2 linked regions of the Astyanax mexicanus genome follow. The protein of the gene in region 1 purifies or fractionates together with the protein of each later gene. This does not show direct contact. Links are inferred from orthologs where the notes say so. Each region holds a gene or a part of one and is shown on either strand. Other genes may lie near its edges.

Region 1 (3,755 bases):
TCTGCTTGTCTGAAATGTACTGATAACTCTTGTGTAAATAAATATGAGCATCGATTCTGGTGGTTTTAAATGTTCTGGTGTTTTTTTTTTTATATTAAATATTTTAAAAAGTAGTTAAAGTGGCCTTCAAAAGTATTCATACTCATTCATTGAGCTTTTTTTCACATTTTGCCACCTTATAAACACAAACGTAAATGTGTGTGTATATATAAAAATCTTCCCAATTTACAAGACCAATTACCCAACCCACTCATTTGGACCCTATCACTAGTGATGCCCCAACACCAGGAGGGTGAAGTCTAACATGCCTCCTCCAATACATGTGAGGTCAGACTCTCTTTTCAAACTGCTGCTGATGCATCATTGACCAGTAGCATCGTAGTGACTTGGTTCCGATACATCAGCTCACAGACGCAAACATGTGCTGATCCACATCACCCTTTGGAGTGATGAGGGGAAAGAGCGCCATCTACACACCTAGAGAGAGCAAGGACAACTGTGTTTTCTTGGGGGTCCTGCAGCTGATAATAAGCTGCATGATCAGGATTCGAACCAGCAGTGTCCTGATCATAGTGGTAGCACCTTAGTCCACTGGACCACTCTGCGCCCGTGCAAATGGTTTTTATTGAGATTTTAAGTGATGGACCAGCACAAAGTAGCACATAATTAGGAAGTGGAATAAAAACAATACTTTTTTTTTTGACATGCAAAAGTAATCAGCCCTCTTTACTCAGAAACCCATAAAATCTCAATTAAATAATTTTTTAATACAGGTTTGTGGTTGTAAGGTGACAAAATGTGAAAAAAATTCCAAGGGGTATGAATACTTTTGCAAGCCACTGTACTAGCCTAGTTAGCTAATTGAAGGTAACACTTTACAATAAGGGTCACAAATAACAGTTTTTACAACAGGATTAAGATAAAGATCTTTTTGAAGGTATTAACTAAATATGACATTTAGCTACGGAACGTTAGACAAACACCTGAAAGATCCTGCCGATTTTGATACACGGATTGTTATTCCACCCAATATTGATTTGAACGCTCTGCATCTTTTTTTTTATTTCAGCCATTTCTTATTTTCTGCAAATAAATGCTCTAAATGACGATATTTTTTTGTTTGAGATTTGAAAGAATTGTCCGTAGTTTATAGAATAAAACAACAGTGTTCATTTTACTCAAACATAAACCAATAAATAGCAAAATCGGAGAAACTGATTCAGAAACCAGTTTATATGTATTACATAACTAAATAATATAAATAATAATCATTAAAATCATTTTTATTTATTTATAACTAATAACACGTGTTTTGTATTTATTGAATTGCTATATTGTGAATTTTATCAAAGTAATAAACAAATAAGTAAACATAAACGCCGTTGGTTGCTGGGCAGCGTTCAGGGCACGGGATTGGTCGTTGCTAAGGGCGGTCGCTAAGGCAGGAGCGGACGCCTCAGCGCGGGGCATTGTGGGAAGGAGAGAAGTTGTGTATTGGCTGTATCTGGAGGCAGCATGAAGGTATTTAATGTTATTAAACTCGCGGTCTGTGATTATAATGAGCTGCTGGGTTTATTTAACTGTTTATCTCTCAGCGCGGAGTTTCAGCGCGGCTTAGTTTTAACTCGCTACCGGTTACCGCTGTATCTGCAGCTCCGCTAGCCTAGCCTGCTAACTCTCAATAACCCCGAGCTCCCATACACGAGCCAGCAGCGCTCGAGCTCCTACATACAAGCTAAACACCTACAGAAACAATAACACAGCGCTACGAGTTTAAACATTTAGCCCGTTTTCTCCCCTCTTTTCTCTATCTCCTTTTATCTGTTTCTCTTCATCTCCTCTATGTTTCTCCTCCTCTCTCGTTCTCCTCACTCTTTTTCCTTCATTCTATTTCTCCTATCCTGTTCTCTGTATTTCCTCTTCTCTTTACTGTTTTTCACATTCTGTTTCTCCTCCTATTATCTGTTTCTTCTCTCCCCTGTTTTTCCTCTTCTGCCTCTCTGCTTCTCTGTTTCTCCTCTCTTATTCTCGGTTTCTCCTCCTCTGTTTCTTCTCTCCTCTTCTGTTTCTCTTCTCCTATTATCTGTTTCTCCTCCTGCACTCTTCTCCTATTCTCTTTATCCTCTTAAATTATGTTTCTCCTCTGTTTCTCCTCCTCCCTCATTCTCCTCAGTCTTTCTCCTCTCTCTGTTTCTCATATTCTGTTACTCCTCCTTCTCTGTTTCTTTTCCCCTCTTCTCTGTTTCTCTTCTGCTATTTTCTGTTTTTTCTTTCCTCTTTTTTTCTCTTCGCTTATTATCCGTTTCTCCTATTCTGCTCTTCTCCTATTCTCTGTTTCTCTTCTTCTATGTACTATTTCTCCTTTCATATTCTCTTTCTTCTCTCATGTTCTGTTTTTCCTCTCCTGTTTTCTGTTTCTCATCTCATGTTCTCTGTTTCTCCTCTCCTATTCTCTCTTTCTCCTCCTCTCCTTTCTGACTCCTCTCTCTCCTCTATCCTTCTCCTCTCTATCTTCTATTCTGTTTCTCCTCTCTTCTCTATCTCCTATTTTATCTCCTTCCCTTTTCTGTTTCTCACCTCCTCTCTTTCTCCTCTCTTTTAATCTCCTCTAATTCCACTCCTCACCTATCCTATTCTGTTTCTCTTCTCATCTCCTTTCATTCTCCTTTTGCCTCTGTGTCTCCTCTCCTATTCTGTTTCTAGTCTCTTTCTCTCTTCTATTTTCTGTATAAATTCTTTTCTTTTCTATTCTCTGTTTCTCCTTTCTTTCTTATCTTCTGTATTTTCTCCCCTTTGTCTCTATTCTTTTTCCCCTGCTATCTTCTCTTCTCTGTTTCTCTTTTCTTCTTTGTCTCTCTGTCTCTCCTGTTTCTCCTCTTCTCTCCTATTCTGTTTCTCCTCTCTTCTCATATCCTCTGTTTCTCCTTTTCTCTGTTCCTTCTCTCCCCTTCTCTTTCTGCTGTCATCTCCTCTTCTCCATTTTTCCTTCTCTTCTTCTATTTTTTGTTTCACCTCTCATCACCTCTTCTCTGTTTCTCATCCTCATTTCTCATTCTCTCCTCTCCTGTTTCTTCTCTTTTCTCATCTTTTCTTCTTTGTTTCCTTCTTTGTTTCTTTGTTCCTCCCCTTCTCTCCTATTATTTTTCTCCTTTCTTCTAATCTCTTCTCATTTGTTTCTCATCTCTTCTCATCTCCTCACCCCTGTTTTTCCTCTCCTTTTCTTCTCCTATTCTCTCCTGTTTCTCCTCTTTTCTCCTCTTCTAATCTGTTTCTCCTCTCCTCTGTTTCTCCAGAGAGTCTTCACCCTGTCGGAGAAGGGCTGGAGCGGCTCGGCTCTGCAGTACAGATGGCAGAAAGCTCTGGGGAATTATCTGGCTGTTGCAGGGTAAGATCAGTTGTAGCTGTTTGTATGTTGTATGTAGGTCATGTTTTTATTCTATTTTTATACAGTTTTATACATTTGTATTGTTTCTATACTATTTTTATTCACTTACTGTTTTATGAGCAGCCCCGACAACTCGGTCAAGATATTCGACCGTCATGGACAGAAGATGAACGAACTCAGTCTACCTGGGTCAGTACAAGCACTCTTACAGTACCAGTCCTCTTCTGATTTTATGATTTATGAGTTATGATTTTTTTTTTAAGATTGTTAATTTAATATTGAAGACATTAAAGCTATACAGGAATACGTGAAATCACGTATAACTGGGTCTTATGAAACCATTTTTGAATCAACAAAACTGATTTTAACT
Region 2 (3,755 bases), on another chromosome or scaffold:
TCTGAGGATGGTTAGATATTAAAAGTTTAAAATGATTTAGTGACACCAGCGAGCTGGGTTTTAGGGTTTCCTGTAATGAATTCCAGCTCGCTGATGCACTGTAGCTAAAAACAGAAAAAATAGTTGGGTAGGTTGTTGCTATGTGTTGGTTTTCCAGGTGGTTTCTATGGTGTTTTTAGATGTAAGATGGTTGCCCTAAAGCATTCCAGGTGGTTGCTTTGGTGTTGCTCTGGTGATTATAAGTGGTAAGTACAACACCATTAATAGTGTAAAGTGAGAAATAAAGCAGCAATTGTGGTTATGATAGCAATCCCCATAACCATAAATCACATTAAAGTAGCACAAACTCACGTGTATTTGAGAATGCCCTCCAGTTTTGAGGTCCAGATAATGATGCTTTTGTCTGCAGAGCCAGATGCAAAACGCTTTCCTGACCAAAGAGAAGAAAAGTTCTGAGAAGTTATATCAAGAATAAAAAATACTGACAGTGGCATCATACGCTGCACATATATAGAGATATGTCTCTCAAAATCCAGATCAATACTAATGTCAAAGAGAGCATCACACTAAATACTTTTTCTGTCAGTTAAGTAGACAAAGCATTTGAGAAACCGAGCCCAAAATAGTATTAATAAGTATTATTAAGTATTAATAAACTTACCATCCTTAGCGTAAGCCACACAGTACACAGTGTCTTTATGGCCTTTAAGTGGCTGGATAAGGGTCCCATCAGCTGTATCGTAAACCTGCAGCAGATTTGTTTTATGTTTTAACATTTTAACTAAACTCAGAACAAAATCCACCAATAATATTGTAAATTTAATATTGAAGACTATATTAAAGCTATACAAGAAGACATGCAGAATTATTTAGTAAACAAAAAGTATTAAATAAACCAGTATGTAGAAAACAAACTAAAGAAAAACACTGAATTAGACAGTGTCCCTGGTACTGTAATTTCTGTACTTTTGTCAAAATATACAGAATTTCTTTTACTGTTTTTTTTTTTTTCCTTACAGAATAACTTGCCATGTTTTTCAATATTTTGTTTGTTTGATTTTGTTGACTTACCTTAATAAATATAACAAAACATTTATCTATTTATATTGACCAAGTTGAGGGTGGGCTATATGGCATGTTTTTGATTCAGAACACATTTATTTCTATAATTATACCCTAGATTTTTTTTTTTAAAGTTGGATGAGATGTTTACAGACATTTGTACAATGTAGCTTAAATAAATTAGCTTAGAATTTATAAACAACTAAAAATCCTTTCATAAAAGAAGCACCACATACCAGCACTCTGTTTCCAGCTGCCACTATGAGCTGACTGCCATCTGGTTTGAACGCCAGGTCATAAATGCTGCCACACAGAGGAAGACAAAGCAATACATCAAAGAGATTCCGTTTTTAATTCAGATCAGTTTATGTTGGCTTGTTTATTCAGATTAGTTTATGTTGGCTTGTTGCAGTTTAGTTTATGACAAATTTACAGAATCACACAACCACAGAATAGACAGACTGGCCTGCAAGCTAACCTAGCTAGTTAACTACTAGAGTTGCCACCTATCAGAAATAAACAACAAACAAACATGGCTCCTCAACTTCTGTGTGGCATGGTGCCAGCAGCAGTGGTATGTTTTATATACATACACTTTATTTTAATTTCAATTTATTATTTTTATTATTATTATTATTATTTTACAATTTGTTATGCGGTAGAATATTTTTGTGCATAGTTACACCACTGTAATAATATAACTTATGTAATAATCACTGAAGACTGTATTCCCCAAAAATACAAACATTTTGATACAAAATACAGAGAAAGCTCTACAATAAAGGTTTTCTCTCAAATGAAGTTAATTTATGTATTTGTTTATTTATTTATTTAACTGTTAATCCATTAGTATGATTTGTTCTTTATATGACCATATATAATACTTATTTTGGCTAATACTGCTGTATATTAAATGAATGAATCATTAATTTGACTTTGTAACAGAACCTGTGTGTTAGACATGTGTTTTGGACATTTATGGAAATAACGTTACCGAACAAACCACATTTAATTAACAACATTTAATTGCCAAATAAAGGACGATTCTGTGTTTTACGGGACGAGTGGCAAACCTATGAGCTACACATTATTTCTCATACACCTACAGCTATGCCCTGCTTTGTTTAAAATGCTTAATTCAGACGCGTAAATATGTTTTTGGTTTGTCAGTAAACATTAACGTTACCGACACTGCTTTGGTAATCTAGCTAAGTTACTTTTACATGAACTAGTTAAAATGAAAGGCTAGCTTAAGCTAGGTTAAACCGTTAGGGTTGTTAACGCTGGTTAGCTAAGCTAAATAAGCTAGGTTGTGTTTTATCCAGTATTGCAACTTAACAACAGCAGAAACCAGAGAAAATACCCTGCTGCTGCACCGCCAGGCTGCTAAATACTACACAAACGACATATTTCGCTTTACAAATTTATGTAGATATCGTTAGCTTAGCCACATAGCCAATATAAGCTAGTAAGCTAATATTGACAAACCCCTCCAGTGGTTTACATAGTAACCGCCGTTGCTAACCACATCCACTGATCAAAATTCACACAAACAAAGCCAGCAGTTTATAAACCAGCGAGTCTCACCACTGCTCAACCTTATCCCGGTCGTGTACTTTATCTATCCATGTGGGAACAGCTCGCATCGTTGTTTTTAATGCTAAATATTTCGTTAAAATTCGCTTTGTGGCGATATCAACAGGTCTCCGGTGTAATACGGACGGAGCTCTGCCGTCACCCCGTCAAAATAAAAGTTCTGAGGACCCGCTACCCATGTTTAGAAAATTTGCTGAGCACACTTAAAATATTCCTTCATGTTTCTGGAGAGAGATTACTTATAAAATATTATTAACTTAAAATGTATTATATATATATATATATATACTTTAACAATGTGGCGATATAAATGATTCTATGTTTTTTTTCTTTTATGTTGTGATAAAAATTGTACACAGTCTGTACTCGATGCTATAAAAAAGTTTTGGTACTTTCAGGAAAATAAATGACTTAATTCATAAATGTAGAGTTACACTGTTAAAATCCCAGATTTTTTTATGGACATGTAGTTACCTTGCAAAACAAAAACCCTGTATGTAATTTTATTATCTTAAATTCTATCTACAATTGTAGCTAACATAGCTAGCTAACAAGCTATAGGTCTCTGCTTAAGATAATTTATGTTTTTGTACTCCACTTTCTGCTCTTTCTTTACATTACAGACTGTATCAAATCATTTAAAATTGACGTAATCACTTAGATATATGTGATACATGTATGTCTTCTTTGAAAACAACAATTTGTTGTCTTATTTGTATTTGAATAATCAAAAGAAATAATAATAAGGAAATGTATTAATTACTAACTAACTAACTAATATTTTTGTTATATTTTTGTATGAAATTTATTAGCATAATAGGCATATTTTTTAAATTATATATTTATTAACTTTTACAGATAGAAACATTTTAACTATAAGTAATGAAAAATAAAATAGGGATATGGTACAAAAGGAAAAATCACAGATTGTTTAGTGTTTTCATTGATTTTTTAATGTTTGTTTTGAATTAAATAAAGTGAGTTCTACAATGAAAAAAATGGTTTGATACAGTATTCATTGTTTTATCGTTGTACTTTTGCATGTGCAAAATGGCAGCTAATTCATTAAAATTATGTTTGAGTCACCATGTTTTTTA

The links. The genes of interacting proteins can lie anywhere in the genome.
Region 2: the proteins of wdr19 (region 1) and ift122 purify together in Homo sapiens (affinity purification with mass spectrometry; 4 studies listed by BioGRID and IntAct, counting the BioPlex papers as one, with this or other methods). This does not show direct contact. The link is inferred for Astyanax mexicanus from reciprocal best matches to the Homo sapiens genes WDR19 and IFT122.

What each region holds. Positions count from the first base shown.
Region 1 is NC_064432.1:8,207,289-8,211,043, reverse strand, and holds the start of wdr19 (WD repeat-containing protein 19), read left to right. Parts: upstream 1-1,430; 5' UTR 1,431-1,515; coding exon 1,516-1,521; intron 1,522-3,293; coding exon 3,294-3,385; intron 3,386-3,508; coding exon 3,509-3,574; intron 3,575-3,755. UniProt on the Homo sapiens protein: As component of the IFT complex A (IFT-A), a complex required for retrograde ciliary transport and entry into cilia of G protein-coupled receptors (GPCRs), it is involved in cilia function and/or assembly.
Region 2 is NC_064419.1:15,112,525-15,116,279, forward strand, and holds the start of ift122 (intraflagellar transport protein 122 homolog), read right to left. Parts: upstream 2,809-3,755; 5' UTR 2,709-2,808; coding exon 2,650-2,708; intron 1,366-2,649; coding exon 1,299-1,365; intron 747-1,298; coding exon 662-746; intron 431-661; coding exon 352-430; intron 1-351. UniProt on the Homo sapiens protein: As a component of the IFT complex A (IFT-A), a complex required for retrograde ciliary transport and entry into cilia of G protein-coupled receptors (GPCRs), it is required in ciliogenesis and ciliary protein trafficking.